4 linked regions of the Alligator mississippiensis genome follow. The protein of the gene in region 1 binds, or shares a complex with, the protein of each later gene. Links are inferred from orthologs where the notes say so. Each region holds a gene or a part of one and is shown in the gene's direction. Other genes may lie near its edges.

The links.
Region 2: LIN9 (region 1) and E2F4 share a complex: the UniProt entries of both Homo sapiens proteins name them as parts of the DREAM complex. The link is inferred for Alligator mississippiensis from reciprocal best matches to the Homo sapiens genes LIN9 and E2F4.
Region 3: LIN9 (region 1) and RBL2 share a complex: the UniProt entries of both Homo sapiens proteins name them as parts of the DREAM complex. The link is inferred for Alligator mississippiensis from reciprocal best matches to the Homo sapiens genes LIN9 and RBL2.
Region 4: LIN9 (region 1) and TFDP1 share a complex: the UniProt entries of both Homo sapiens proteins name them as parts of the DREAM complex. The link is inferred for Alligator mississippiensis from reciprocal best matches to the Homo sapiens genes LIN9 and TFDP1.

The regions. Positions count from the first base shown.
Region 1 is NC_081824.1:179,696,547-179,704,291, forward strand, and holds the start of LIN9 (protein lin-9 homolog), read left to right. Parts: upstream 1-4,427; 5' UTR 4,428-4,455; coding exon 4,456-4,534; intron 4,535-7,745. UniProt on the Homo sapiens protein: Acts as a tumor suppressor. Inhibits DNA synthesis. Its ability to inhibit oncogenic transformation is mediated through its association with RB1. Plays a role in the expression of genes required for the G1/S transition.
Region 2 is NC_081833.1:31,514,475-31,522,004, forward strand, and holds the start of E2F4 (transcription factor E2F4), read left to right. Parts: upstream 1-4,259; coding exon 4,260-4,388; intron 4,389-7,104; coding exon 7,105-7,214; intron 7,215-7,530. UniProt on the Homo sapiens protein: Transcription activator that binds DNA cooperatively with DP proteins through the E2 recognition site, 5'-TTTC[CG]CGC-3' found in the promoter region of a number of genes whose products are involved in cell cycle regulation or in DNA replication.
Region 3 is NC_081833.1:48,731,362-48,739,258, reverse strand, and holds the start of RBL2 (retinoblastoma-like protein 2), read left to right. Parts: upstream 1-4,820; 5' UTR 4,821-4,898; coding exon 4,899-5,105; intron 5,106-5,415; exon of another isoform or gene 5,416-5,620; intron 5,621-7,472; coding exon 7,473-7,603; intron 7,604-7,897. UniProt on the Homo sapiens protein: Key regulator of entry into cell division. Directly involved in heterochromatin formation by maintaining overall chromatin structure and, in particular, that of constitutive heterochromatin by stabilizing histone methylation.
Region 4 is NC_081824.1:351,499,130-351,507,780, reverse strand, and holds the start of TFDP1 (transcription factor Dp-1), read left to right. Parts: upstream 1-5,410; 5' UTR 5,411-5,532; intron 5,533-5,603; exon of another isoform or gene 5,604-5,721; intron 5,722-5,895; exon of another isoform or gene 5,896-5,985; intron 5,986-6,406; 5' UTR 6,407-6,471; coding exon 6,472-6,483; intron 6,484-7,026; exon of another isoform or gene 7,027-7,121; intron 7,122-8,651. Other genes in the region: TMCO3 (transmembrane and coiled-coil domain-containing protein 3), read left to right, coding at 710-823. UniProt on the Homo sapiens protein: Can stimulate E2F-dependent transcription.

The DNA.
Region 1 (7,745 bases):
AGAATACTGAGAGATTTGTTTAACCAAGTAGTTGTGGTTGCTGAACTAAATGGCATAGGTGTTGTAGGGTTACTTGCAGACAAAATATTATAATTAGGATAAAATACTGGAAGGGAACTCCTGGAGAGTTCACTAGTCTACTATGGATGATGCCACACACAGTCAACTGTTGGTGTCCCCTCCACAAATTTACCAATTTCCATCTTTCAAATGTGTGCCGGGGGCCAGGGGGAGGTGGGGCTGATTGGAAGCTGCTCCAAAACCTCTCTACTCTTAGGAACCTTCTAATTTCAGCCTAGGTTTATTCATTGCCAATTTATACTCACTTGTTTGTGTTCCAAGTTTTTCTGCCTTTGTTCTGCTAGACAAACAAATTGAGCTCTCTTAGTCTCCTCTAATATGCTCTCCCTTGTCTTTATCATCCTAATAGCACTTCTCTGCATCTGTTCTAGTTTGAATTCATCGTTCTTGAACATGGGTAATCAGAACTGTGTAGAATATTCCAGACAAAATCTTCCTAGTTTCTTTTACAATAACCCTAATGCTTCCTTACCTCTACTGGAAATAACTTTACCGATCCATTCTAGGATTGCATTTGCCTTATAGTTGCATCAGATTGGCAGGTCATAATATTTTTGTGACAAACTAATACACCCAAGTTGTCCTCATCAGTTGTTCCCAAGTGATAGGATCCTAGCTTCCAGCTGAACTTTGTTATTAGTTCCCAAGTACGTGACCTTGCATTTTGTACTACTGAATTGTATTTCATTTCTGTTACTCCAATTCTCAAGGTTATCCAGTTCTTCCTGTAAGATATTCTAGTCCTCTTCTGGACCTGAGTTTCCCAGGGCTCAGTCCTCAGGCCTGTGCTATTCAACATCTTTATCAGTGACTTGGAGGTGTACACGGAAAGCACACTGTCCAAATTCATTGATGACACAAAGATGTGGGGAGAAGTGGGCACACTGGAGGGGAGGAACAGAATCCAGCTAGATCTAGACAGGTTGCAGAGGTGGGCGGATGAGAATAGGATGGAATTCAACGCAGACAAGTTCAGGATGCTGCATCTAGGAAGAAGGAACCAGAAACACACCTGTAGGCTGGGGAACACCCCTCTTGTCAACACAGAGGCTGAAAGGGAACTTGGAGTCATTGTTGACTCCAGGATGGACATCAGCCACCAGTGCAATGAAGCGATCAGTAAGGCTAACTGCACCTTGTCGTGCATCTGCAGGTGCATCACAAGCAGGTCCAGGGAGGTGATCCTCCCTCTCTATGTGGCGTTGGTCAGGCCGCAGTTGGAGTACTGTGTCCAGTTCTGGGTGCTGCACTTCAAGAAGGATGTGGCTAGTATTGAGAGGGTCCAGAGGAAGGACACTTGCATGGTCGCGTGGGGGGGTGGGGGCAGCAGGCCAGGCCCTACGAAGATAGACTAAAGGGCCTGAATCTATTCAGCCTCCACAAGAGGAGACTGAGATGGGATCTGGTGGCTATCCATAACTCACCAGAGAGGACCAGCAGAAAATAGGTGAGGCTCTGTTCCCCAGGGCACCACCTGGGTTAACAAGGAATAATGGCCACAAATTGATTGGGAGCAGGTTCAGGCTTGATATCAGGAGGCATTACTTTACGGTTAGAGCTGCCAGGCTCTGGAATGGGCTCCCAAGGGAGGTGGTGCTCTTCCCTACCTTGGGGGTCTTCAAGAGGAGGTTGGATAGATGTCTCACTGGGGTATTATGATCCCAGCACTCGTTCCTGCCCAGGGCAGGGAGTCGGACTTGATGATCTGTTCAGGTCCCTTCTGACCCTAGAAACTATGAAACTATGAAACCTACACTTTGGAGTCACCACACTTTTACTTAAATATCTGGATCATTAATTAAAATACAAACAAGATTAGTCCCAAAATTGATCCTTTAGAAACTCCATTGGTAAACTCCTTTCAGCCTGATATTTTCCTTCTTAGGGTTACCCAGTGTTTTCTTTATCTAGGTCCTTGCTGACCTCATAATTTTTCTCCTAATCCTTATTTTCTCCTGCTTCGCTAATAATTTTTCATGCAGTACTGTAGCATTTACTGAAGCACAGATAAAATGAGATCAAATATATTTAATCTGTCTAGAAAATCAGTTATCAAAAAAAGCTGTCAGGTTACTTTGACATAACCTATTTTTGGCAATCCCATGTTGAATTTTACCCTATTTTCCATTCCCATCCACTTTGGTTGCTCTTTCTCTTAAAATTTGTTTTAAAACTAATAGGAGAGTAGTTGCCCAAATTAAAATTTCCTTTCAACTATAGGTACCATATTTGCTGTTTTCTAATCAAATGGTACCAGACCCAACTTAGTAGACGTATTCAAAAATTTTCTACTGGACCTATTATTTAATGGGCTAGTTCTTTCAGAATTCTGGGAATTACCAGGTCTTCTCAGCTTGAATGCATTAAACCAGGGATCAGCAACATTTTGAGTAAAAAAACCCCACAACCTTGTCTTGGAAGATGTTGGCATGCCAGGGGCAGACATCAGGGAACTGCGAGGGGCCTGATCCTTGTTGTGGCCATGGAGCCCTTGCCTTGGGCCCCTTCCACACCATCTGCCCCAAGGCATGTGTGCACCTGCCTCCAGCAGTGATCCAGGCTGGGGCTCCGCAGAGCCTAATGCAGCCACTTGCAGCCTCCTGGCTGCTTACCACAGCCAGCCTGCGCTCTGCAGGCCCCTGCCACCAACCATGGAGTTTGGGCTGCTTGCAGCAGGTGGTAGGGAGACTGCAAGCACCTGCACTGGGATCCACAGAGCCCTGGCCCAGCTTGTTGGTGGCAGTGGGTGCATGTGCACTTTGAGACGGACAGGGGGGAAGGGGCCCGGGGTTCCCTGCTACAAGGATCAGGCCCCTTGCGGCTCCCCGCTGTCGGCCCCGAGGCACACGTGCCAAGTAAAATGCCTTCGAGTGCCACATTCTACCATGTGTACCAGGGGTTGCCTACCCCTGCATTATACTCTGACTTTTGCTCCCATCTAATTTGAGGTTATTTGCATTTTGATGCCCTCGTTCTTATCTATCTTGCCTTTGCCACAAGGTCATCCTTATCGAAGGAACATCTAACTTTGTTTTGGCCTTTGATTCACGCACACAGCATCCTCAATTTCTGTGTATCCTCATGACCTAGCGGCTCCCTCTAAACTTTCCTTTTTCTCTTTTATGTCATTGAAGAATGTTTTGCTCTTTGTTATATTTGACTCCGGTCAATCTAATTCTGCTTGACTTGGGCGATTCTCACTTTAACCCTGTGCTTCTTGGTCTCCTAGCTTCTCTTCTTCCAGCACTTGTAAGCTTGTCATTTAGTTAGGGCTGAAGTCCCTTCCTACAAGGCCTTTCTGCCACCCTGCGGCTTTGGGAACACAGACCCCTGCCAGTTTTACCATCTCGGACTGAAATAATTTCCAGGCTTCCTTTCCACTCAAGCCATTGAGATCCTCAGTGCAACTGACTTGGCTGACTGGTTCCCTTCGTTTATTAGAGGGAAAGGCTTGTGAAATGGAAAATCTTTATGACAGATGTACTGGAGCTTTATTCTTTCATCACCACTCTTTACTTTTTATTATTATTTAGTATTATTACTATTAATAGTTGTTATTCTCATTGTTACCAATCTCATCCTAGTAATAATAATCCTTATTTGTTATGTACTGTTAGTGTGTGAATTTGGGTCTTGTGGGCGTGTGTAGGAGTGGGGGTCTCAGGTGCGTGTGAGTGAGGGTCTCATGGGGGTGTGTTTGTGTGTAGGGAGCGGGGTCTTGTGGGTGTATGTGTGGAGGGAGCGGGGGTCTCATGGGTGTTTGTGTGAGTGGGGGGTCTTGTGGGTGCATACCTGTATAGAAGTGGGGGTCTTGTGGGTGTGTGTGTAACAGCAAGGGTCCTATGGGTAAGTGGGGGGTCTCAGATGTGTGTATAGGAGTGGGTGTGCAAGGAAGTGGGGGTCTGAGGTGTGTGTAGGAATAGGGGTCTCATGGGTGTGCACATGTAGGTAGTGGAGGGTCTCATGGGGTGTGTATGTAGGAGTGGGGGGGGTCCTATGGGTTAAGCATGTATGGAGTGGGGGTCCCGTGTGTGTGTGTGTGAGTGGGGGTCCCATAGGTGTTTTTCTAAGAGTGGGGGCCTCAGGTATGTGTGTAGGAGTAGGGGGCTCGTGGGTGGGGGGGGGGTGTCGTGTGTGTAGGAGTGGAGGTCTCGTGGATGTGCGCCCGTGTGGAGCGGACCGGGGCTGGCTCCCGGGCCCGAACGGTACACTCCGCTCCCTCAGCGCGCGCTGGACAGACGGGAAGCACAGGGGAGCCGAAGACCACTGCCCGGGGGCCCGGCCCCGCCCCGCGCGCTCGTCCCGCGCGCCGCCGCCGCCGCCCCAGTCAGCTCAGCGCCGCGCGCAGGCCCCGCCTACCGCCGCCGCCCCACAATGCCCCGCGCCAGGCAGCCTTTGAAAAAGCGGCGCGGCTCGTTCAAGATGGCGGAGCTCGATCAGCTGCCGGACGAGAGTGAGTGCCTGCCTGGGCCCCTCGCCGCCGGCCCTGCCTGCTCCCCTCCGCTCCGGCCTGTCCCCTTCCCCTTCCCCTTCCCCTCTCCTCTGGCCGGGGCTGCCCCTGCCCCTGCCCCTGTCCTGGCCCCTGCCCGCGGCATGGGGGGGGCCGGGACCCGCTGCCCTGCGGGGCCCTGACAGCGCCCGGCGCGGCGGGGGACCAGGACCGCAGATGCCCCCGCCGGGCAGGGGTGAGGCAGCGGGGGCTGGGGCTGCTGTGAGCGGGGCTGGACGCGGCCTCCTCCCCCCCCGTGCTACGTTCCTGTGCCCATCCCTGCCCTGTCTGCACCCAGGGCTGTGGCACCCCTGGGTGCCCAGGGGTCCTTTCCCCGGTGCTGTGGGGTGCCCTGCTGTGCTCGTTTTGTTTGGGGGGTGATTTGGGGACAAATCCAGAGGTTCACATTAAGGATGTGGGGTGTCCCTACCTGCGCAGGCTCCACTGACTCTTTGCCACAGTCGGGTGATGCTGGTGTTTGTCTGCCCTCAGGGGGAGGGGAAGATTGTAAGATAAGCTGGCATTTTGCAAAGGGGGATCTTGAGCCTCAGAAGAAAAAAGTTAAGACCCTCTTTCCCCTACCCTCTAGTCTGTATAGACATTTTGCTGTACAGGTGACCAGGTGTAGAAATTGGTGCGGGCACCACATGCTGACCGGACACCACTTTTGGTGCAGCCTGAGCAAACAAAAATAGACTGAAAGGCAGGTCGGCATCTCCAGGTGGGCAGTGCTGTGTGTGGATGCCGCCACCAAAAAAGAAGCAGGACTGGAAGGAAAATGACTTCGTTGATTGAGAAATGACACAAAGTGGTGTTACACCTCAAAAATGTAGCCGATGTGGTGGAGGAGCGTAAGGTTGGAGTGAGCAGCACATAAAGGACATCAGGAATGTTGCATAAGGATTGTGATGGAAACTTCTCTTCGTCACAAGCAAAAGGCCTGAAGGGAAATAGTGTAATGTCATCGGAAGAAGACCCCAGCAGACTTTCCGCCTATGTCAGATGGGGCTGGACTCGATCTCATGAGGTCCCTTCCAGCCCCTCATCTATGAAGCACCTGGGGAACCAATCCGTACATTAAGACCAGTGCAGAGCAGTGCAAGGAGGACACAGTGCCCATAATTGCTTGAACTGCTTTGGCAGATGGGTGGCTCTAAATAAATGGTAACCAGGCAGGAAAGAGAGGCCCGACTTTCTTTTTTTACAAACCAATGAAAACAACTACTTAATATTGGTTTGTTTGGGTTTTTTTGTTTGATTTTTGTTTTGTTTTTTTTCAAATCACTTCTAGGCATTATGATGCACAAACATTTATATTGGCTTTTAAAGTTTCAGAAATGAACTAGACAAATTCATGGATTACAGATCCATTAATATCTTAAACAGAAGAGCTGGGGATGTATCCTCTGGCACCTCTAACCCAATGATGGTGGATGCCAGAGCAGGCATGATAGAGAGATCATGATAGATATACACTGTTCATATGTCCTCCCTCTAAAGCGGGGCTGTCCAGCTTATTGGCTGGGGGCCACGCTGCATACCATAAGGGCCATGGCCTCCCCTAACTTCCCTAGCTACAAACTCCCTTGGCACCATTATGACAGACAGCTTCCTGCCTGTTGCACTCTATAAGTGGACAGATATTCTCTTGTCCCCAGCTGCTATTGCTTGCACAAGCAGGTGGGTGGCCCCCTGCCCCTAATGTCTTTGGCTGTATGCTCCCCTGTTGTGCATGTTCCCTCAGCATTGAAGGCATGCTGTCAGCCAGATGCTCTGAGTCATGCTGTCCTGCACCCTGGGGCAGCAGGAGGAAGTGAAGGCCAGAGAAGAAGGAGGAATCTGGAGACCCTGGCCGCAGTAGCATCCAGAACAGTTAACTGGACAGGGGGAGCCTAGGGGCTGCAATTTACCCTCCCACAGGTCGCAGGCCACCAGTTGGACAGTCCTGCTCTAAAGCATTTGCTGCTCCTGGTGCTGTCACAGACAGGTCTATTTGTTATGCCCAGAGAAACATTAGCCTGGGCCCACCAAGGGAACTCAAAGCCTCCATTAATCAGGGAGGCCAGTAGAGGCAAAGCAACTGATAACTTAGGACAACTAAAGTGGAACATGGACTAGAGTATGAGTCACAGGTTTATAGTGTGTATTCCAAGGGGAGAACACTGATCAGAGTACAGCAGCCAGCGCTTGCCGGTCCTCAAACAAGTCCAAGGAGCTAGTGAATGCCATCCAGTGAAACTTGGACCATGGCACAGGTGCTCAGGTGGGCTGGACTGGTCTGACCCAGTATGGCACCGAGTTTCTATGGCACTTAGAATCTGTGATTCACATGATTTTTCAAGGGGGGCATGGTGCAACCCCTTGCTGAAGAACTGTCATGACCCCAAGGCTGAGAATAATACCATATATAAATAATTCAATTATAAACTTCCACGGTAATGCTGTCACTGTTGTACGAGGTTCAAATTCTTGTTGCTTTTATTTGAAAAAATACCAAGGAAGTAAAAATATCTAGAGGGGCAATAAAAGTAATTAGATGCATGGAAAAATTAATATGAGGAGAAATCTTAAACAATTAGAATTGTTCAGCTAACAGAGATGAAACCTACACTAGGACATGATAGAGGTATATATGAACAAAGGGGTAGGGTAGAGAAGGTCAGCCCTATTTCTAAAGGGAGCCAGTCAAAGTAGAGGATACCATACTCAGACAGAAGATGCAGCATCTGCAGATATGCATCCCATACATGGGCACATTCCTGTATATGTGCAAGTTCCCACATAGATGCACCCAACACGTTCATCTTCATGCATTCACAGAATATAGAGCCAACACCTGAAAGAGGCTCTTTCCCAGTACATCAATATTCACCAAACATGCCTGTATGCTTAATATGCACCTGTGAGTTGCATACATTCTCTTGCGGATGTCCACACAGACTACGTACACACACGCACTAACTTTCAGTCGTCAGAAACAAGCTTTTGGTTTAATTTGTGCAAAGATGTGCATACAAGCCAATTGTCACATGATGAATGTTTCCACATGTGTAGTAGAATATAAACATTACATTTGTACCCACCCCTTCTTGGACATTCAGCCATACATAGATACGAACACAGAAAGTATTCTGTAATCCAGTGTTCCCTAACCAGCGTATCTTGATCCACTGGT
Region 2 (7,530 bases), on another chromosome or scaffold:
CACAGGAACAGGAGGATGTCTGGCATTCCCCTGCCCCCAGTCCATTTCATTTTGTAAAGGGTCTTCCTTGCCACCGCCTCCCATCTGGATCCCCAGAAGACACACATGGCTCTCTAGATTCTGTGGGTGAGATGCTTCGAAGTGGGAAAGACCACTGCGGTGTACAGAAGCACCAGTAGCAACACTGCCTTTATGAGTGCCAGGTGCCTCCCCATGGAGAGGCAGCGCATGTGCCACAGACCCAACCTCTGCTTAACTTTGGCCTTTGTCTTTTTCTATGCCTTCCTTCCACTCAGCTCAGGGTTGAACTCCACCCCAAGGATCTTGACCCCCTCATGAGGGACAGAGACCCCCAGGGACATTAGGTCCCCAAGCTCTCCCACACCCAGACAGATGCTTTTACTTACATTGACCTTGGTCCCTGCTACCACTTCATAAACCTGTGCGCGCCACAGGGCTCTTTCTACTGACCACTTATTGTGGCACAGGATGTTCAGGTCATCCGTGTACACCAGGATCCTGGTCTCTTCTTTGCTGCTGCTTGGGATCTGGACTCCACGTATCCCAGGGTCCTGCCTAATGCGCTGGGCCGGGGGTTCAATCGGGCTGGGTGCACATTACAATGTTGCAGAGATTTTTCTCTCTCTCCTGAAGTGCACACTTTTGCCAGCAACTCTCTTTCATTCTTATACAATTTAACTGTATAGCTTCAAAGCATTCCTTCTTGATAGTTAGTAAATTAAAGTTCAAACAAAGCAGGTAGGGAGGGACCACATTACAATTACTAACTGCTCAGATCCTGTTTTGGGTCGTCTAGTTGTGAAACTTATTTTTCCAAACTTTTGATCAGTCCAGAGGTTACACTTCAATCAAATAGGATGGGTCTTGATTGACTGAACAAGATACCTTGTAGAACTGATCACAGAACAGTGTTTTGGGTAGTTATTTTAACAATAGGGCAGAACCCAAAATAGTCTAAGTTGGTGATGGTTTATGGAGACATTTGCAAAACTCCAAACAAACACTGAATAACTGTTCTGACAAATATGCCTTAATCCAGGGAGAATGTGTCAGCAAGGAGGATATAGTCACATAGGAATATACAGTTATTTATGAGTGGTTTAGCATAATAAAACATTGGGTACATTTGCAACTAGCACAAGAAATTAAATCAAATGGGATTGCTTTATTTTGCATGGTCCCAGTCACAATCTTGCATTCTTGTGCAAGATGCACTGTTGTTTTAATTTGGTCATTTAAATGTCATTTGTAGGTCTGGACAAGCTTTCACAGTTTTCACTTGGCATCAAAGCTTGTTTATCATACTTTAAGGTGCAATTTTATTTGAAACATATAAACCCAATCAGATCTAGGAGTTGTTAGACCAGAAAGGACCACTAGAACCATCTTGTTTGATCTCCTGTATAACAAAAGGTAAAGGTTTTTTGTTCTGTAATTCGTGTACCTAGCCTGCAAATCTATGGCTGAAACACGTCCCTTATAAAGACAATGAATGTCCATTTAATGAAGTTTTTAAGTCATATACAACCTAGCACATTCCTGGCAAAGAGTTCTAATCTATTAAAATAATTATGTGTTATTAATCATTCATACTATTAAAATGCATACAGTATTTTTACTCTGAATTCATTTGGCTTCACTACAAGTCACTGGATTTCATTTTACCTTTGTTAGCTAGGTTAAGGAGCTCTCTGCTACCAGAAAGCCTTTCTTCATGTAGGTACTTATAGATCAAGCTGCCTCTTCATCATCTTTCTTTGGCAAGTAAATACACTGAGTTTTCTAAGTTCTAGTACTCAACAATCATTGTTGTGGCTCACTTGAACCCTATTTTTAACTAGAGTTAATCCCACCTCCTTCCTTCAGCTTATACATCTAAGAATTGCGTTAGCCCATTTGCCCAGAGCATCATGGCCAATTGAAAAAGAGTTAATGCAAAAAAGTGTGTGGGTCCCTCCTGCCCCCATCTCATTGCCTTTTTTTGCAAATCAGTATTAAGGATCAGATGACAGCATGTTGCAAATGTAGATGCATTACAAAGCTACTCAATCTCCAACCCATGGGCCAAATATAGCCTGCAAGCCATCATATCTTGCCCCCAGGAGTCCCAATGGGGTGGGAAATTTGGTGCCAGGAAAGCAGTGGTCATTAACATGGTCACCCTCCCCATACCAAATTCCTAAACCCCAAGTCCTACACTGCTGGTTGCTGCTGGGCCATGCCTCCTTCCCCACATCTGGATCAGGACTGGACCATGCTCTCTCTCCTCCCCATCCAAACCAGTTTAGGGGTGGGCCACTACCCTTCCACCCCACTCCCCTCATGGGGCCAAGCCATACCTCTTTCCCCTTCAGGGCCAGGTTGTGGCTGCATTGCCCCCCCCCGCCAACTCCCCTCCGCGTGGCTGGATGGTGCCCACTGCACCCACCCACCCTGGTGCCAGATCAGGACCACTGGCGGGATCCAGCCTGCAGGTGGACAGGACGCTGCCCATCCGACTAACAGGGGGAAAAGGTTGAGCACCACTGGTATAGCCTATACTAGTTCCTTGAGTGAAATCCATACCAGCAAAAGCACTTGTATGCTAATACACCTGCATCTACACTAAAGCTTTTGCTGGCATTGAAAAGTCATAAAAATCCCATTCTGACAGCTCTATATCAGCAGATTTCTTTGTGCTGACCTTTGTGGCCTCTCCTCATCAGTATTAACCACTGCACGCTCCTCCATGTCACCTACAAGCTTCAATACTCCATGATTACAGACTTTCTTCTAAATCATTACTGAAAATACTGATTACTGGTAGACTAAAGCCAGATCACCCATTCCCCTTTAACTAGGGTAGCCATTCATCCGGTTTTATAGAGGACAGTCTGGTTTTCTGCTACTCTGTTCTCTGTCCTCTAGTGATATGAAACCAGATGCCTTGATGTCCTCTATTTTTCTCTGGAGACACTCAACCTTTCAACCCACAATTGAACTTAAGATGGCTTGTCTTCATTCGTCAATATGTTTGACATTTAATCAATCCCGTGTTTGTATCGGACCTGAGAATGCCAACAAAGATCCTATTTGTCATGCTTCCTAATGACGTCCTTACGTTACAGCTGTTGCTTCCTGCCGTTAAATGTTTGTCTTCAAAATCAGTTTGACATCACCCTTAATTCAAAATGTCCAAGACGACCTTCAATTCAGAATGGTCAAAAGAATGTGATTTCATAGCGAAAAGCAGAAAGGGTGAACATCACACATCCTGTACCCTGTGATATCGATGTCAGCAGCCCAGGAAACGGAGCTGTATATCATCACATTGTGTCAAAAAAACACAAACTGAACACTCGAACATTTAACTTTTTGGTAGCTTCTATAGATGTGGTTATTATGAATTAGCACTAAATTTAGTTTTAAAAAAATCCCTATGCACTAAATGAAACTGTCCTCTATTCTTGAGGTCCCTTGATGGCCACCCCACAGTTCATTTCTGAGGCCTATCAGTGAGCCAGTTTCTAGTCTGTTTACTGGGCGATGCATTGGTTTTGTGCTGTACTGTTATATAAATCAGAATGTAGCTCTTGGAAATTGTACCTTTCCCATGAATTTGTGAGAGATGCTTCATGTAACACATACAGAAAAGGAAAAAATATGCAAAATTTCCAAAAGAAAACTAAAGCTCAGATTTTATGTTTGTAGCTGTTGTATATTTAGGGCTTGTGCCAAAGGACATAAGCCAACCCACCACGATGTTGATCCAGACCCACCTGCCTCCTGGCTGCATTTTTCATGGGGACAAAGCGCTGGGGTGCCATTCGCCCCCAAGCTACCGGGACGGGACGGGACGGGCCGGTCTCAGAAAGGACGACTGTGACTCAAGACGAGGCTGCGCCCTCCCCTGCCCTGCCGCTCCGCGCACTGCCAAGTGCCGCCGGCGCCCCCGAGGCCGGCAGTTGCCACGAGCCGAGGCGGCGAGCGCGCACCGCACAGGCCGGCCGCCGCCGCCGCCAGCCACGACCCTCCCGCCAGGCGCGCAGCCGCGTGGCACCAGCGAGGCAGTGCTGGGCCTGCCCTGGGCGCGCGGAGACACGTCTGCACAACACGGGGGGGGGGAGCGCCCACCTGCCCGGGAGGCCCCCGAGGCGCGGGGCTGGGCCCGGCCCCCGGCCCCGCTCCCCCCGGCCGGCGTTTCCCGTCGTGCCCGGCGGCCGGAAGCGGAAGCGGCGCGGGGCCGCCGGGCCGGGGAGATGGCGGAGGCCGGGCCGCAGCCCCCGGGGGGCGCCCCGAGCCGGCACGAGAAGAGCCTGGGGCTGCTCACCACCAAGTTCGTGTCGCTGCTGCAGGAGGCCAAGGACGGCGTGCTCGACCTCAAGCTGGTGCGGGGCCGGGCCGGGCCGGGCCGGGCCGGGCCGGGCCGGCTGGCGGGGGTGTCCCGGGGCCGCTCAGTGCCAGCGCCCGCGCGGCGCCTGGCGACGGGGCCGGGCCGGGGGCGGGGGCGGGGGCAGCGGCCGCGCAGGGGAGCCGCGGCCGGGCTGGGGGACGGCGGCAGCCTCGGCTCGTGCTGCAGCGCCCGCTGCGTTTCCTCCGCGCTGGCCCCGCCCAGTCTCGCTCCACTTCACACCTGCGGGGCGGCCCCTGGGCCAGCGCCAGGCACAGGAGCTGGTGGGCTCTCTCTGCCGTCGTCTGCTGGCCTGTAAGGTGCACGTCTGCCTCGCTGAGGTCTGCCATCTTTGCCTTTGGCAGCTACTTCATTGAGCTGCTGCAGGGAGGGAGGGAGGTGGGGGGCTGCGGATAGCTGCCTGTCTTCCCTCTCCCAGAGCATAGGTGTGAGGCCCTGTACCCAGCACAGTGGCCACGGGTAAGTGCATCCAGCTGCCTGGTTACGTCGCTGTTCAGAGAGCTAATGCAGAGCGCTCAGTCTTGAGAACTGCTTCTCCTGCTGGCGCTTCTTGTCTGGGCAGCGGCACTGTGGGCACTGGGGTGAGTCTTGCCGGTATCTTATTGTGCTGCAGTCGGTGCTGTAAGTAGCAGGTGTGATCTCTGCCATCTGGGAGGCTTGGCAGCTTCTTAAGATCCCATGAAGGAGTGTCTGAAATGGAAAGTGCATCTGGAAAAGCTGCAGTTGGCTTGCTGTATTCAGAGAAAAGTAATTTATTTCGGGTCTGAGAGTGGCTACAGATGCAGCAGAACTCCTGAGTTTAGGACAGACCTCAGTCAGAGAGGGCAGGTATCATCTCTGCTGTGTTGACTGCTTCCTCCAACCCTGCATCACTATCTCAGTCAGTGTTGGTTCATGTTCAGTCATCTTGGTTTCCTTCAAGCTGTAGTCTTGGCGAGAGAGCATGAAAGCTGAGTGCCTTGAACACAGATAATACCGTGAATCAGATGTAGTTGTATTCTATATCACTTTCATACCACAGCCCAAATCCTGGTTGTCTTCCCCTAGTGATCTCTTGCACACAGAAGAAATGAAAATAGAGTGATGTAATATATTGTTCAGAGCCCTTGAGAGAAAAGTATTGTTCTTTATTGTTTTCTGGTCCTCGGAGCTAAAACAGCCATTCAGACGGGGCCAAACCTATCACTTCCATAAACTATAGGCAAATCATTTTCACCTTGTGCTCTGTGGCATTTGTGGTGGCTCAGGGAGAAGAGAATTGGCCTAGGTGTTGACTGGAGATCATTGTTTTTTAAAGAAAGCAGCGTGGACTCTGTACTATAGCCAATGTTTAAACCCAAGCCTTGTCCACACTTGAAAATGTGTTTACACGTGTATTTTATGCTCATGTTGTGTGTGTGGATCTGTATTCCTGCTGGTGATCCATTTCATATAGATCCAGTCAGATACAAGAGGCATTATAGAAATACAGGAGTGGAAAGGACCCATAGAATCCACTTCTTGCTATTGCATACAAAGCAAAGTCATTTGGATTTTGTCAAAAAAAGGTATGCTTGCTTTGTCTAAAAAATGGCTTGCAAATGGGACTCTTGTTTGTCAGCATTACTTGAACTAATGATTGGCACTGCCATGGAGAGCTGACTCGACATGAAAACTCTTCAGTGACCTGTGCATGTATAGTATCACCTAGAGTGTTGGTGCCAGTTTTGTTGTTGCAAATCTGTAACTTCTGTGCTAGTGTGACACCAATTTCAGTCCCATTTTTGCAGGATTATTTTGGATGGGAACTGGAGCAAATTGATGGGCATCCAGAGGTTTGTTGAGAGAATGGAAGAGAATATGTGTTTTGTGTGTGAGCAGACCTTATTAACAAATCAGTTCTGCTAATTAGAGTTTTGTGAGGAGACTGGGTCCTAGGTTTGAGGGGTGAGACACTGCCTCAGAAGTGTGCTAAACAAATCTGGAGACATCAAGTACTACATGAGTCCCCTCCTCACAACCTTCCTTTTCCTCAAAAAAAAAAAAAAAGTGAGGCATGGTGGCTGAAATTTTGAGGGCCAAGGGATGGCGTTTTGTAATATTGGTTGAGCAACCTTCATTTAAGAGATACTAGTAACTTATATGAAGGAGAGGTATTGGCACTTTATACCAAGACTTGTGACATTTAGATAGAAAAGACCTGTTGGAATATCCAGACCTGTTCCTGACAGTGCAGGATTAGTGTCAGTGTTTTCTTCCTCCAGCTTTTTCACCTCCCTGTTTCCTCCTCTTAACCTCAAGGTTTTGCCATTCCAGTAGAGTGTACATTAAATTGGAAGGTCACCTCACAAAGTTCCTGTAGAATTGAGCATTTAATCCTACTCTCTCTTAGTATGACTCTGCTGTCAGGAGGTTGTCCAGTCTGCATCAGAACCAGATGAGATTGGGGAGATGGTTAGGATTTAGTTTGTGATTAATAGGGGATTTGGGTTGAAGACTGAATTGCAGGGAAGATATAATTAGCAGTCAGAGAGTAGATCAGTGACTGGTTTCATGTCCCTTGACACACAATCTAATTTGCAACTTGAGGTGGGAGACAGATGCCACCAGAATCATAGAGCCTGATCTGTACTGGTATGATGTCCAGGCCTGGCGAAAGGATGGAGCATAAGAAGGAGTCTGGAACCGATTGTCCATCTTTGATTTTTCCACAGGCAGCAGATACCTTGGCAGTGCGGCAGAAACGGCGAATCTATGACATCACCAACGTACTGGAGGGCATTGGGCTCATTGAGAAGAAATCCAAGAACAGTATCCAGTGGAAGTGAGTGGTAGAAATGCTTTGGCAGTGTTAGAAAATTATGGAAGGAAAAAGCCTCACCCTGAGTGAGTTTCTCTCAGGGCCTATCTGCATGTACTCTCATCGCCCCTCCTCCCCTAACTGTTCCCACTGTTGAAGCTCCACCTATGGTTATTATAGTGACAGTGTTACTTTGGATAGGGCCGCAAGCACCTGGTATTCTAACTGTCGTGTCACATGGACCTTATAGATTCATAGATGTTAGGGTCGGAAGGGACCTCAATAGACCATCGAGTCCGAACCCCTGCATAGGCAGGAAAGAGTGCTGGGTCTAGATGAC
Region 3 (7,897 bases), on another chromosome or scaffold:
TCCTAGTGAAGGGTCTGCCTGTAGAAAATATTGTTTAATTATGTGTTTTGAAGGTAGGAAAAGAATTAAAATACTAAACCTTGGGGAAAAGAAAGTATTTCCATCTAGACTTAAATATAAACAATTAGGAGCCCTCTGTTCAAAATGAGTTGGGCTGAGCAATAAAACTTGTGTATATTAATACCTCCATTCAAAATTTTTTGTTCCCTTAGATTACTGTGTTTTGGCTTCTGTAATCTGTTGGATAAACATTCCTGAAATACTGTGGAGTCTGTTTTCAGTTGATTTAATCACTGATAGGTAAAATCACTGCTGCCAGAGCCTCCAGCTATGCTTCTTAGAATGAATCAGAAACTCTGTGGTATGACTTCACTTACCAAGAAGCAGGTTTAAAAAAAATAAGACAGACAGACACCACTCTTCTCTCCTTGTGTTGACTTGTTTTTGTCCTAGTCCTAGAATCAGAGAGCCCTTCCTCAACCTTTTAGTTTTCTTGAGTTCTTCCAGATGGAAAGAAAATGCATAAAGTGGGAGAAGAAAGGGATACAAGAAGGAACAGATATTCTTGGTCACATGTTCCAGGTGCAACAGTTAATTCTCTGACAGCATGACTTGGTTCCCTGCCTCTTGCCCAATTCATCTTTGATCAGGCATCAAAGGTGCAAAACCCTCATGTAAGTGAACCAGATATGGTCTGCTTTGGGCCTCCCTCTTACTGCCACCTTAATTTTTTTTTTATATATAAATAAAACAGTCTCCCTCATATATATGAGGGAGAGGGAGACTGTTTTAGATAATTCATTGGATCTTTTCTGTCAAGGTTTAGGAGTCTTGGGGTAGGGCACTTGCTTCCACCAACACCTGCTAACTGGCTGCCTCGCCTCAGGCTTTGTTCCTGATGAAAGCTGATTACAGGACAGTTTTGATTTACTGCTGTGCAGTTTGTTTCCTGCTGTCTGATCTCTGCTGTGCCTGTTCTAGCAAAATAAATTGGAGATCAGTTCTGTCCTTCTGGGAGCAGCTTTTAGTTTAGTTGTGTTTAATGTCAGCAGCATCCTGGTGTACTAGGACTCAACCCATCTCCCTGGGCAAAAATTTTGAGATTCCCTTTGGCATCAAGCCTGCCACCCATTCAGCTTACACTGCAATTTCTCCATTATTTCAGCCAATCTAGCTATATCTAGAAGTGGATAACCAGGCAGTTGTGAATTAGTTGTCTTATTTCTCTTCAGAACAACTTCTGATAACATTTGATGCATCTACACAAGACGCTAAATGCGCAATTGACTAATTCTACTGCACATTAGTGCATCGCGGCAAAAGCCGTGCTAATGCACAGTAAAATTAGTCTACTAAGCATTACCATCACTAAAAAGGTGTGTGGTGGCACTACTGTATAGTTACACTAGTTGCTGCACATCAAGTTAGTACCTGTTATTACAAGTACTGAATTTAATGCACAGTAACTATGGTGCCTTAATGCACGGTAGACATGCCCATTCCCAGTTAGCTTAAGCCCAATGGGATGTAGATAAAATTAGCAAGAGGTCTAGAAAACAACCTTGTCAGTGAAATTTAACTTTGTTACCACTGTGTTCAAAAGGTTTGTTTAATCTGAAGTGGAAACCAGAAACAGTATAACACACAAATCCTACTACTCAGTGCTTAGTTACTTACTCCTTTTGAATACTCTTTTAAGTAACATCATTCCATGTACTCACAAAAGCCCTTTTCAACAAATGTTCAGCAGTAATGCTTCTGAGCATTTCAAGGAAGGGAGAAAGTATTTGTATTTCAGTACCACTTAGAAGCTCCTGTCTCAAACCAGGGCTTCATTGATTTAAGTGGTGTCTACATTGGGTATTTTTCTGTAGGCAGTAATACTGGTAGCAGAAGTTTGTTGTTCACAAGATCTGTGATAGAACTGAAAAGTGAAGGAGAGGTAGCAGAAAGCAGTTGCATAGAGTTAATATGTTAAAAGATATTTATTTTAAGCTGATTTCAAACTGAATAACTTCCGATAACATAAAAGCAAGTTATTTTTTCAATGGATTTAAATTCTTCATGGGGGGGGGGGAAAATTCAATGAATTATGTATGAAAGTTTTCTTTGTTGAAAGTCTCCTCTGAACATGCAGTACTAAATATTTTTCCATATCTAAAAACCAATAGGATTAGGGCTGTAAATGGAAGTTTAATCATTTGGAGTAGGGGTGCTCAGTCTCTGGCCCATGAGTCAGACATGGCCCACGGAGCCATCATATCTGGCCCACAGAGCTGTCCATGGGGTGGGAAGTTTGGTGGCAGGGAAGCAGTGGCCATTAATACAGTCACCCTCACCTTGCCAAATTCCCAATCCCCAAACTGTGCACTGCACTGCACTTCACAGCCAATCCACGACACCTCTTCCACCTTCCACATCTGGATTGGTGGATTGGGTCGGGACCATACTCTTTCCCCCTCCCCCCCCCCCCTTTGCAGAGCTGGTTTGGGGCTAAACCACACCCTTCCCATGTCCTCTCCTGCCTGCTGGGTCAAGCCCTGCCCGGTTTACTCATGGGGCTGGGATGGGGCCTCCCCCACACCGTGAAGCCCCCCTTTTCTCTATGGGGCCAAGCAACACTCTCCTCCTGTGTTGCAGGATTATAACTGGGCTGCCCCCTACCCCTTCCACATGGCTGGATGGTGTCCACTGCACCAGTCCCAGTGCTGGATCACTGGCAGGATCCAGGCCATGAACAGACACAGGGCATTATTCTTGCTGGACTCCCACAAATGTGATCCTTTAATAATTATATCAAAGGTTTTCCCAATAATAGAGATAAGGCTAACTGGCCTATAGTTACCTGGATCCTCCTTCCTCCCTTTCTTGAAAATAGAGGCCACATTTTCCCTTTTCTAATCCTGTGGGACCTGACGAGCATCATGAGCGCTCAAGCAATCGTGCCAGTACTGCTATGACACTGGCCAATTCCTTCAGCTCCCTGGGATGATCATCTGGGCCTGCTGACTTAAACACATCTAGCCCCTCCAAGTGTCCCTTCACTAAGTCAGCACTAACAGTTAGTGGGCTGGTTTCCCTCCTGTGCTCATCTACAATCCGGTTGGGAGATATGTCCTGATTCATGGTCAGGAATACAGATGCAAAAAACTCATTGAAAAGCTCAGCCTTGTCCCTCCTATCTGTCACTAATTGCCCTAGTCTGCTCTGTAGGGGTCCTATGTTATCCTGCGCCGCCTTTTTGCTCCCTATATACCTGTAGAAGGACTTTTTGTTGTCTTTAATGTTTGTCACCAGCCTGAGTTCCATTGCTGCTTTGGCCTTTCTCACTGCCTCCCTGCAAGTGAGAGCCAAGGAGGTATACTCCTTGGTAGCTGCCCCCTGCTTCCATAGCCTGTATGCCCCTTTCTTTGCCCCTAGGCTTTCCTGGATTTCCCTGTTCAGCCAAGAGGGTTTCTTGGCCCCTTTGCCCCCTTTCATGCGCAATGGGATTGTCTCCTGCATTTGAAGGATCGTTCCCTTTAGGAATAACCACCCTTCCTGGACTCCCATCTCATCAATGCCCCTGATCATCAGTACCTTGCTAACTAATTTTCTGAGCTTATTGAAGTTGGTTTTTCTGAAGTCTAGCACTTCTGTTCTGCTGGTTATCTTTCTTGAGCCAGCTTTCCCTTAAAATGAGTAGGAGATGAAGCTGGCCAAAACTGCCATGGACTTGAATGAACATGATGCTTGGAATTACAGATTTGAATCTCAGTAAACTTTAGCAAAAATGGCTGATTATTTACCTTTCATGCTCTTACTAATACAGTGCCACCTAGCGTTTGTGAAGCAGATGAAAAATGTCACTGGTCCAGATTTTTGGATTGTTTCAGGTACCTAAATTCCTTCCTTTTCCTCCAGTTTTTGTTCATAAACTCAGCCATGGCTTTCATAATACAATTTTAGCTGTGAAACTTTATTATCAGAAAACCAAAAAAAGATGCGTGCATAGTTTATATTTTCTCTCTCAAGAGCCACAGCAGAAGTCTTAACTGTTCTTGACTTCCTGTAATGTCTATTGTGTGAATATTTCTTCAGTACAGAAGACCGAGAGGAGCTCATTTTTTCTCTTATCTCTGTCATCTGTGTTGAAAGACACTACTGATTTATAACACAGTCACGTCTCTACAAACAGATCCATTTGTTCATTTCACGCTGCACGGCAGGTACTGGTGCCTTTAAATCACTCTCCAGAAACCGTCTGACTTATCAGGTAGGCTGCCATGTTCAGAGACACAGACCCTTCCGTAGGGTGCTGTGGAGAGCGGTGCAGCGCGCAGGCGTGCTGAGTAAGACAGAACAAATGAAGTGATATTAATAAAAAGGACAAGGAAAGGTAGAAGAAGGGGATCTACTGCGACCGTGCAAGGGAGATAGGATCTACCCACGCTCAGCGTTGGCCCAAGGGAGGCCCACGTGACCCCGCTTCGGTTCCCTCCCGCGCTCATTTGCATACAGCCTTCCCGCCCCCCGCGGCGGCGGCGGCGCGCGCAGGCCGGAGGGGGTGACGTCACAAGGCCGTGGAAGACGCGGAGTCAGGCACCGGAACTCCGCCCTACTGGCGGGGGTGGGGACCAGCTGCGAGAGCATGCCGGGAGTGACAATCCTATGTCGGGTTTGGGCGCAGGGAAGAGGGTCTGGGCAGCCGTGGAAAACGGAGTGCGCCTGCGTGAAGGGGGGGACTGCTGATTGGTAGAAGCACCCTGCCCTGGCCAATGGGAGGGCGAGGCGGGGGCGGGGCTCAACGCCGGGGGGTTAGGATTCGAATGCGCGTCGGGAAGCCCCTGGCCGGGCGCAGGCGCAGTGCGAGGCGCGGGGCGCTGCCCCCTAGCGCCGGGGCTCGTGGCGGAGGGGAGATGCCGGGCGAGGAGGAGGAGGAGGCCGAAGCGGGGCCTGGGGGGCCTGCGGCCACCTCCCCCGCGCCATGCCCGTCACCGCCGGCCGAGGAGTGGGACACGCGGCAGCGCTACGAGGAGCTCTGCGGCAGCCTCAACATGGACGAGCGCGCGCGCGCAGAGGCCTGGCTCAGCTACCAGGGCATGAGGCGCAACTACACCCTGGAGGTGCGCGGCGGCCGCGCGGGGCGGGGCCCGGCTGAGGGGCAGGGGAGGGTTTCCGGGCCCCTCCCTCCCCTCCTCTCGGGCCTGAGGGGCGGCGGCGCCCCGTGGCCCTGCCTTTGGTCCCGTCAGAAGTGCGCGGAGAGGGCTCCGCTGCGGCCTGTCGCTGCATGTCCCGCTCGGCCGCGCCTCGTGCCGGCGGAAGGGTTTTGTGGCCGGGTGTAACGACGTGTGGGACCAGAATCAGACCCCCGCCCCCCGGAAGGGTAGCTGGGGGATGAGAGGAGCAGCCCCTGCAGGGGTGCCATAACCAGACCTGGACCCTCAGCTTCTTTCAGGCAGCCTAAAATCCAGGCACGATGCATAGCCTGGGCCCCGAGCGCCATCTGCTGCGGGGTCTCTGTCCTGGCTGCGCCTGTGGTCCCAGCGTCTGAGATCCTCCAGGGCTCCCATCGTGGGTGCCTGCTGCTTGCCAGTGCAGCGGGAACCCAGGATCAGGCTCCGCCTACACCCGCATGATTGGATCTAAGCGTGATCCCGTAATTGCACCTTTTGCCACGCATGTGTGGCATGGCAGGTGAAATTGTGTGGATCGCGTTGGGTTCAATCATGCCGTTACCCCCAGGTGTAGAGAGAACCAGATATTTTTATATCCATTTTGTGTGGTAGCACCTCACAGCTGGCAGGGTGTTCTGCGCTGCATAATTTCCTAGCATGGCTCTAAAGCGATGTAGTCATCTTGTATGGGTGACAGAACAGACTGACCAAAACTATATTCCTTCAGAAAACACTAGGCTCTCTTCTCAGAGCTAGGTAGTGTCTTGGATCTATTGCCTTTGTGACTGACTGAGTTACAAAGTACTGTAGAAGTTTGAAACTTGACCAAGTAGGAATTTCTTAATTCCTTAGTTTCTAATTGTTGATTTTTATTGCAATCAACCTAGACAGTCCAACCTGAAAGTATTAATCCACAGTTCTTCTGGTAGAAAAAAAAGGAACGTACCCGTGGTGGTAATACTTAATATAGTTAAATTCAGTGCATGTCTGCGTGCTTGTGCACACATGTGTATTGTTTATCTAAATAGACAATCATTCCATTGTATAATATGGGTAGAAGAGAAGATAGTTCAGGGAATTATATCCTGGCTAGAAACAGCTATTTTATAATGATCGTGTGCTGGAAAAAAAATATACAGGCATCCCCCGCTTAGTGCCATTAATTGGTTCCAGAAAAACTGAGTGTTAAGCGGAACTGCGCTAAGCGAAACCACTTTCTCCATAGAAATAAATGTAAATAGAAATTTATTGGTTACTGCCTGCCCCACTGCCGCCTCTCCCCCGCCCACCTGCTGACACTCCAGCCCCACATACCAGCCCGGGCCCATGCTCCTGCCTCCTTGCTGGTCTTGGCCCTGGGCACTAGCACAGGTCCCACGCTCATGCCTGCCCCCACCCCCCTTGCTTGCCCACTGGCCTCTCTGGCCTCATGTGCCGCCCTGCTCTGGGCACCGGACCCTGCCGCCGGGTACCAATGCGGGCCCTGCACTCCTGCTGCCCCACTCCGGGCACAGGTCCCCACTGGCCTTGGCTCCAAGCAGTGGTGCGGGCCCCAGGCCACTCACCTCTGTCGCTCCCCACCCCCCTGCTGAACCTCCGATGGAGTGCCATCATGGGCACTGGTGCTCTTGCCGCCCTGTTTTGGGTGCAGGCTTCCACTGGCCCTGGCACGGGCCCCACACACCAGCACAGGTTCCACCCCAACCCCAGGTGCAGACCCCTGCCAGCCCAGGCACCAGCTTGGGTCCCACGCTCCTCCCCTCTTTTGCAGCCACTTGTCTCCACCCACCACACCTGCTCCTGCACCATGTGCCTGGGCCCAGGCTTCTGCCATCCCACCCTGAGCCCTCATGCCTGCCTACGCACTCACTGCCACTCACTCACCTCCCACTCACTGTTGTCGCTTCCACTTCTCCCTGCCCTCCTGCCTGCTGAAACTCCGATTCCACTGAGTGCTATAGCGAAACTGGCTGAGCGCTCAGTGGAATTGGGAATCAATTCCAAGTGAGCACTATAGGAAAATAGTGCTAACTAAAACCGCATTAAGCAGGGGTTGCCTGTAATAGGAATACGCTGGAATTTTGGCTTAAATCTGAAGTGTAAAAAAAAAAAAAAAAAGTTAAATGGCTCTTCAAGTCATTTTGATGTTACCCAATTTGAACCTGTATCTTGTATAGCTGAAATATGGTTCATTTCGGTAGACCTTTTAAATACTTAACACCCATTCCCTTTAAATGTACCGGGCATTTGTTGTAGCTAAAGTAAATGAAAGTCTTCCAAATGTATGTTTTAGAGACTTAATATTTAATTTTGCAGGGAAATGAACTACATTGGCTGGCATGTGCTTTATATGTGGCTTGCAGAAAAGCAGTCCCAACCGTGAGCAAAGGGACTGTCGAAGGAAACTACGTATCTTTAACTAGAATCTTGCGCTGCTCAGAACAGAGGTAACCTCCTCCCCTCCCCCCCCATGTGTTTGCACTTGTAAAATATAAAAAAAACTTTATTTCAGCTACAGCCATTGAGAATGAAGGCATCTAGACATTGAAAATGAAGAAAAATAATAATAATTTTAACTCTTAATACCTGCTTTTGGACACAAAGTATTTAAATGTCAGTGCCTTTGTAACATCACTTAACACTATTATGAATTAGTTTATCATAATGAAACATTCCTAGTATTTTGAATTGGGATATTTAATGTTGATTGTTAAAAGTGATTAAAAAGTAGCATAACAAGT
Region 4 (8,651 bases), about 170 Mb from region 1:
ATGTGCTGCATGCAAGTTTGACTTGTAATGATCTATGGCCAATGTGAATACTCACTCAAAACAATCAACACCCCAAAACACTTTAGTACTGGGTGACTAATTTCCATGTGTCACATGAAATAAAATTGCAAAAACTGCACTTTTGTAAAATAGTTGCAAGTTGTCTAAACACAGAAACATAACAATTGTTTGAGGCCTTCTTGTGCGTACAATGAGTTCAGCAGGCTGTGATATATTTTAGTGGTACCTTTTCTGTCATTGTTCTCTACATTATTTTGCATTTTATAATGTGTTAACAACATACTTCAGAATGTATAGTTGTGTCTCCAGAATAAATGTGAACAGCCAATGCATGGCTTATTATTTGGTTGCCTATAAAATGACTAGTATTCTGCTGTTAAATAATCCTATTTTTTGAATGTAAAAGATGCTTGGTATTTGACAAGTGCCTTTATTTGCATACCTTATGCTTTCAAAATTGGCCTGTACATACATTCCAAATGTGGGAGGCATGGTTAAATTTAAGTATGATGTGCATTTGTATTTGCAGGCATGTTCAGTTTCAGGATCAGACTTAGAAGTCAAACTGAAGAGTGGTCCAGAAAAGTTCTTAATTTACTTATCTCATTAGCCTTTCAACCTTTTCTTAATCTATTGTGCATCTATGAATGTGAACTGTAGAAGTTACATTTTGATTTTTAATTTTCAGGTCTACCTCCTTATCTTGAGTGTGACTACGCTAAGTCTTTTACTTGCACCTGCACTGTGGAGAGCTGGAATTATGAAATGTGTACCAAGGCCAGAAAGACGCTTAAGTACCTGACAAGACTTTTAATAATTTAAAAAGAAAAAAGTCTTCGCAGAGATTCTCCTCGTAGCTCATTGTATCTCTATGCAGTTAGAAAGCAAGAGGGTTTGGAATATTTATCTAAACATGCACTTGGTTATGAGCCTTATACTGACACTACATAAAAAAAATGTTTGGTATACTGATGATTGCACAGCTTTTACAAAATACACTGTCATATTAGAATCTGCTAGAATAACTTTTTTGTGTTTGATCCAATCAGTTATACAGAGTAGAAAATATTTTTAAATACTGTATCATGCAAATCACCCTGAATATTTTGCCTTGATGTGCCTTTTTATTACATTGATTTGCATCTTGTACTGTTCATTCATAAAAGTCTTGTTTAAAAAAATCAAGTTATTTTTATGGTGCCTATGGTACCTTCTTAATGTAACTCTTGAGCAATTTAAGCGTGTAATATTTAAGAGTTAATATGCTGGTTTTGCATTGGTTGCAAAACATTTTCAGTGGTGTGTAAAGCCTAGACATTTACACAAAAATAAGGTTTAGCAGCTCTGGCATAAAGCTTTAAGTGCTAAAATGCATATTCCAAAATGATGCAGCCAGCATTATACATTCATACTCTGATTTTTATGATATTTTTTAAAACATTTTATGTATTTTATTTGTATTGTAACTTTATTTGTTCTGGCGTCTTCTATTTATTGACAATATTTCTGACCTAAAGGTTGATTTAGGGGTGACCTGACTTCTAATTTATGTTTCAAGACTAATTCCAACTGTCAACACTTTCAATTATTGATTTACTGTTTTACTGATTGTTTATACTTTGTATTCATTGAGACCAAAATAAAAGTGTACGTATGGAAAACCTAACTCTGAGAACTTGAACTAGACATGGAAACATTTAAATTACTTACTAAAAGTTGTTGAGATTGGATGTCAATGTTGATTCTACTTTACAAATTATTTTGGTTAAATTATTTTGAACAACACAGGAAGTGACAACTCTGGGTATGCATTGAAAACTGGCATAATTACATTGCATCAATATTGGATCAACTTGAGTGTCTTAAACACCAATGTTTTGAATGTGTTATATGAGTCTGGATTTTTTTTTTTAGTCTGTTATAGAGTAAACTTTGTAAGAGCCCTTTCTTTAAATGTCGTAGAATGTAGTCTGCTCAGAGAAACTAAAGTGATTCATCTTGGGACTTTTTATCTGCTGTGTCCTGTTTTTATTACACTACAAAGATGTATTTAATAACTGTAAAGACATATGTACAGTAGTAACATTTTCAATCAAGTATTGTACTGTCATATGAAACTGCCATTTTTGTGAGTCAACTATAGAAAGATGCATGTTGCATATGTACATTAGAATCTAACATGCCAATTATTAAATCTACAAGAATCCACTATCTAAGCAAATAGTATTCAGATAATAAACTTTCTTTTAATAGAAAGAAACTTTGAATCTGCTTTATCATTTTTATTTCAGCATCGGACATTCAGTTTACAAAAGGAATTCATCAGCCTGTTTACTTGTATAGCAGTCAAAATAACTTACTGTTTCACACTTAAATGAAGCTCTAATTTATGCCAGGATATTGGTAGATTTTCCAAATGTCCTGTTTAAAAAAAAGGGGGGGGGGGCAGGAACCCAGAATAAAATATGAATCTGCTATGGAGAACTTTTCCTTATGCTATTGAGTAGATTATGTCAAAGAAGAGCTATCTTTTATTCATTTTCTTTTGAAATTAAGACAGCCACATGAAAGGAGAGTGGTATTTTGGTCATTAGCTGGCTTGAAACACGGATGTGCACATGTGCTATATTTGGACAGATGTTGCTGGTCCAGATATTGAATGTAATTTGCATAAATGGGACCGACTCTTGATTCAGTCAGATGTCCTGAGAAGTTTTAAGAATTTGAGAGAGAGATCCTTCCCTGTGGAGCAGTCACTGTTTTTGCCCCTCTTTTGGCATTAGATAAAATGCCTTATTCTAAATCTGTATTGCAATATTTATTACTCGGATGTGCTGAGGAAGACCCTTCAGTGCAGGATGATAGGAGATCATCACATTTATCTTTGGAACAACTGAGTTCCTGTTGCATGGCAGAAGGCATTTCAGTGCTGAAGGCCCTGCACTTAAATGGAACAGATATCCCATTTCTTCTCACATATCTTCTGATATGAGTGAGGCTGAGGCCAAGTCTAGTGAGAGATGACACCATGAAAATAAGCTATCTTGTGCACAATTCTGTCATGCTTCCATAGCCTGAACTTGAGTGACCTATTCTCTTTTGAAAATACACTTGAAAGAAAATTAAACAGCAGAGCATAAGAAAAACACTGACCAACACTACTATCATGAAGAAAAGCCAGATTAAAGTGCAGGGGTAAATGCTGTAGTATTGAAGGAAAAAGATACTCAGTGGTATATATATCTGAAGGCAGTCATTAACCCCCCAGAATGTGCTGGAACACTTGTGGGGGTTGTAAACAAGGGTTGTGTACGCACTCTTGCACCAGTAAGAGGAAAAACAAGTGCTGTACCTTTTAATTTAACCACTTCAGTAGTACTTTAAACCAGGGGTCGGCAACCCCCAGCACAGGTGCCAGAGTGTGGCACATGAAGGCATTTTGCTTGGTACATATGCCTTGGGGCATATGGTAAGGAAAGGACAGGGGCTGTGCTGCCACAAGTATCACAGGTCCCTTGCAGCTCCTTTGCTATCCGCCCCGGCACATCAACACCTTACAAGATGAGGTTGTGGCTGCTTTTGGCACTCTGTGAAAAAACATTGCTGGTTCTTGCTTTAGACAGAAAGGCAGTAAGTGGCCTGGAAGGTCTGACTATGATGGTGAGACAGGAGGCAGTCTTTATGAAGAAGAGATAGAGTCTAAATGAGATGTTTTTCTTCTGTCCCTAGTTAATCTTCTTTCAGAGGTAGGGGTGGAAACATGGGGGTACAGCATTTAGCAGAAGGCTCATTACCCCTCTGATCCTCAAAAGGACATGGAAGAATTGGAGACGGTCTGAAGAAGGGCAACAGGGCTGATTAGCACTATGGAGGGGTTTCCACAGGAGACTAAAAAGGCTATGGCTGTTCAGTTTAGAAAAGGGATGCTTAAGCAGGGACATGAGAAGGGTTTACAAAATACTAAACTGTGAAGAGAAAGTAACTAGGGAGTTATTACTCACAACACAAGAATTAGGGGTCACAAAATGAAATTAGTTAACAAGGCAGTTCTTTTTCAAGCCACGTGCCAAGGATGTGGATAAATTGGAGAGTCCAGCAGAGGGCAATGAAAACGGTTCAGGGTCAGGGGCTGAGGGAACTGGGCTTATTTAGCCTAGAAAAGAGAAGTCTGAAGCAGCCTTCAACTACCTGAAGGGGGGTTTGAAAGAGGATGGAGCTAGACTGTTCTCAGTGGTGGCAGATGACAGAACAAGGACCAATGGTCTCAAGTTGCAGCAAGGGAAGTTTAGGTTACATATTAGGAAGAATTTTCTCACTAGGTGGGTAGTAAAGTAGTGGAACAGGTTACCCAGAGAGGTTGTAGACACTCAACCCTTTAAGGTTTTTAAGACCCATCTAGACAAAGCCTTGGCTGGGATGATCTGGTTGGGGTGGTCCTGCTTAAGCAGAGGGTTGGACTAGATGCCCTCCTGAAGTCCCTTCCAACCCTAATTTTCTCTGATTCTATGATACACACTTCTAAGCAGTACTTTTGTACCTACTTGTAAGGTAGGCAGGTACCAAGTACAAGCTATGCATAAAAATTCTCCATATCTAATCTAAACTCCCCTTGCTGCAGCTTGAGATCATTGCTCTGCCACCATTGAGAACAGTTTAGCTCCATCCTCTTTCAACCCCCTCTTCAGGTAGGTGAAGGCTGCTCTCAAATCCCGCTTCAGTTTTCTCCAGACTAAACAAACCCAGTTCCCTTAGCCTCTCCTCAGAAGTCGTGTGCCCCAGCCCCCAATCCATTTTCGTTGCCTTCTGCTGGACTTTCCAATTTATCCACATCCTTGACACCAGGCTTGAAAAAGAACTGCCTTGTGTTAACTTGTTCCATGCTGTGACCCCTAATTCTTGAGCTGAGAATTTAGGATTCCAAGAGGGATGGGGCAGCGGGAGCTAGCGAGCAGGGGAGAGAGGAGCGACCTGGACCTGGAAGCTGCACCTAATACAGGAGAGTGGAGAAAATCCTGGCCACAGACAGACCCGCTCTCTGCCACCGGGCAAGATGGGCCTCGGCTCCAGCACCCAGCCCGTGGCAGCTCTTCTGAGGTCTGGTGCTGACAGCAAGGCAGCCAGCCCTCGCTTAAAAGAACACCCGTGGGAGTGGGAGAGAGGAGAAAAGCAGTGCGAGAGCTTTCCCTAGTACCACGCCGACCTCCCTCCCCACACCGCCGTCGTGGGGGCGGGGCGCTGCTGCCCCGCCCCCTCGCGTGAGCCCACGTGCCGCAGGCCAACAGCCTCCCGCCGCGCCGCTCTCGCGCCCATGCTTCCCGCGCGGCCGCCGCGGGGGGCGGGGCGAGACAGGAAGAGTCGGAAGGCGCGAAAAGCTCGCGCATGCGCGTTTCCCTCCCCCCTCCCCACGTCAGGGGCGGAGGATGCCCCGGGCTCCCCGCGTCTGGCCGGGCGAGGCACGTTCTCCCCCGTGACGTCAGCGCGCAGCGTCACGCCGGGGGGACGCACAAAAGTGTAAGTTTCAATTTTTTTTTTTTTTTTTATCCTCCTTCCTGCCAACGGTAGGGGCGGGGGGAGGGGGCGCGATCCCCCTCGGGCGGTGCGTGCGGGGCCCCGCCCCCAGCCCAGCCCGGCCCCTCCCCCTCCCCCCGGCCACCCCGCGCAGGGCGCCCTCGGCGGGGAGCTGGGGGGCAGAGTGAGCAGGTGCGCGAGGCGGGGGGTGGGCAACGGGCAACGGTCGCTGCTGCTGCTGCTGCTGGGGGGGGAGGGACTGCCCCGAGGGCACGTGGGTAGGGGGCTCCCGCGCGTGTCCCCGCGCCCGGCCCGGCCCCGGCGGCTTGCAGAGGCCCCGAGCCGCCAGCGGAACCGCCCGGCAGCCGCTCCTCGCTGCGAGGCTGGGACGAGGGTGGGGGTGCCGCGCTGGGGTCGGCCCCTGAGGCCTAGGGCCTGCGACTGCCGCCGTGACAGGTTGGCGGAGGGCTGTGTGGGGGAGGGGCGCGTGTGCGGTCGTTGGGGGGGGGGTTGGAGCGGGGGTAGCTGGACAGCACCCGGCCCTGCCCCACCTGCCTGCCTGTCTGGCTGCAATACCCCGAGGGCTGTTGGGAGTCATGGGGGGGAGGTCGCCCCTGGGGCTGAGTGGGTTGCAAAGGGCTAAGCCGGGGAGGGGGAAGGGGGGCAGTGTCCAAAGTGGGGGTGGGGTGGGAGGGAGACGGCCCCATCAGAGGGGTTGGCCATGCTGTGAGGGGACCAGGGCTGTTCTCAGCGTCCCAGCACCACTTCGCTAAGTAGAGAAATCACCTGTGTGGTCCTGTGCCAATAGTGCTGCCAAAACTTTTCCCACCTCCTAGCTAAAGCTGGTGTTTTTCTCTCTCTTTCTCTTCTTTTTTAGGCCGTTGGACTCTTGCCTCCTTTCGCTTCAGCAGGCCCCGACGTTGGTTTCAAGGCACTGGTAACATGGCAAAAGATGTGAGTGCGCGGGAGCAGCCCGTTTCCACGTGTCTGGTGATGCATGGGAACGAAGCGGGCTGAGCATTGTGCCCATGGCATCGGTGTCGGTGGGAGTGCATTTTCCGCACCGCGCTGGGTGGGGGCTGCGCTGTCTTTGTTGCTCCTGGAGGAAGCTCGGGATAGAATTTTTATGAGCTCTAGAACCGGGGCGGAGGGAGTTTAAGATTTGAAAAGACCTACAGCCATTTGTTCAGTGCAGCATAACAAGAACCACCATCTTGCTGAAAAGCATTTGTGATGCTGGCATTTTGTGTGCTTTTGTTGGGGATTTGAAAACCTGATTTTTCATTATTGTGCCAGGTTTTTTTAACAAACAAACAAGTGAATTAATTTATTATTAGCATTCAAAGTTGTCAGCCAGTTACCTCTGAGTGATACAGAGGGACAGATGAGTATCACTGCCATGCCTTGACTCGACCCTATTTAAGAGCCACATCATATTTGAGGTAGTTCCTATGTAAGCTGTTCAGTCTCCATGCCTTCGTTCTTTCACCTTTCTTCTGAAACTACCAAAATGATGCCACTTAGGGCCATTAGGATTCAGGCTTCGGGGGATTTCCCCGTAGGCTGCACAATTGAAGCTGTTCAACCTAAAGGTGAGTCATAATGAAAAGGGACTATCTTTTAAACTGTTTCTCTCCTTTTCCACTTTTAATGTCCTTCTGTACAATAAGAATATTCATCTTCTGCACTCTTAATTTAAATTATTACCTTATTTTATTATCATTGGACTTCCTTATTGGCAAGATACCAAGAAGTTTAAATATTCTCATTTGTATATCAAGATGTGTATCCTAAAGATTTAAAAATGTAGAGAACATGCATAGCTGTTTGGGTTTTTTTAATTAAAACTGATTTTGATCTAATTAATTGAGGATGATGTGAACTGTTGCAATCCTCGAAGTGGCAAGGATTTCTGTAAAATGTGGTTTAAGAAAAACCTTAAGACTGACTTAATGAATGAGGAGACAACCAACCAAAATACACAGTTGCTGAGAGCTTGCCAGGAAAAGATAAGGGTAGCAAAATGTGTTACAGATAGCTAAAGAAGCTCAGGGGATAAAAAGGAAGAAGGCCTGCTATTAAATGAGGGTGAAATTAAGGAGTTTGAAATTACTGAAATATTGAAGTTATTTTTGTTTTTAAATCTATCCTTTCAAAAAAAATAAAAGAACTTACACAATTAATGCATATGAGGATAATTTGAGAGGGAGAAACAGCATAAAATATAATGTGTTTAGGAAGAGAAGATTGGCAGGACCATAATAGATTTTTAGATATGTACAAGTTCATTTATAAAGAAGGTGATTGATTATTCTCTCTGTTCACAGGGGTAGGGGAAAATAATTAGTTTAATTTACTGCAAAGATGATTTAAGTTGGGTATTAGGAAACCCTTTCTAAGGATAAGGGTACTTAAAGCAGTGAAGCAGGCTACCAAAGGAGGTTGTGAATCTTTCTTCCTTTGGAACTTTGTCTGTTATAAAACCCCTGTTAGGAATAAACTAAGCATACTTAATCCTGCCTTGGAGTAGAAAGTTGGACTGTATGATCTCTTTCAGTCCCTTTATAGCCCTATATTTTTGTGGTTCCTAAGAGTCTGTAAGGTGAGTTTATATTTTGCTAATCAAGTTGCAATGATGCAGACCATAAGACTGAGGTTGGCAATGTTTTTTGGCAGCAGGGCCAAAATGACCCAGCTCAGGTCTGAGGCGCTAGGATAGGACCGAGCTGTCTAGGGCACAGTGCAGCACAGGCAGAACTCCATCAAAACTCCTGACCACAATATGGGTCAGTCAATGCTCCCCTCCACTGAAGCCCTTGGTAGCTGACTCTGCCATGACACAGGCAGAGAGCTCTCTCTGCTGAATGCCACCAAAGCCACGGTTCTACAGGCCAGATTCATGGCTCAGCAAGCTGCAAGTTGCTAACCCCTGGTGTAAGGCATTGGGTTCATTGGCAAATTTGGTGTATCCAAGCCAGTTTAGTAATACAAAACTCAGGTACTAGTTAGTATTGTTTACTTTTTTTAATCTTCATAAAGGAAAAAAAAATTGAGATTCACTGTCCAAAGCCTAACTTCTGTCCTTAGTAAATAACAGGATGAGTCACAAGAGAAAAAGTATC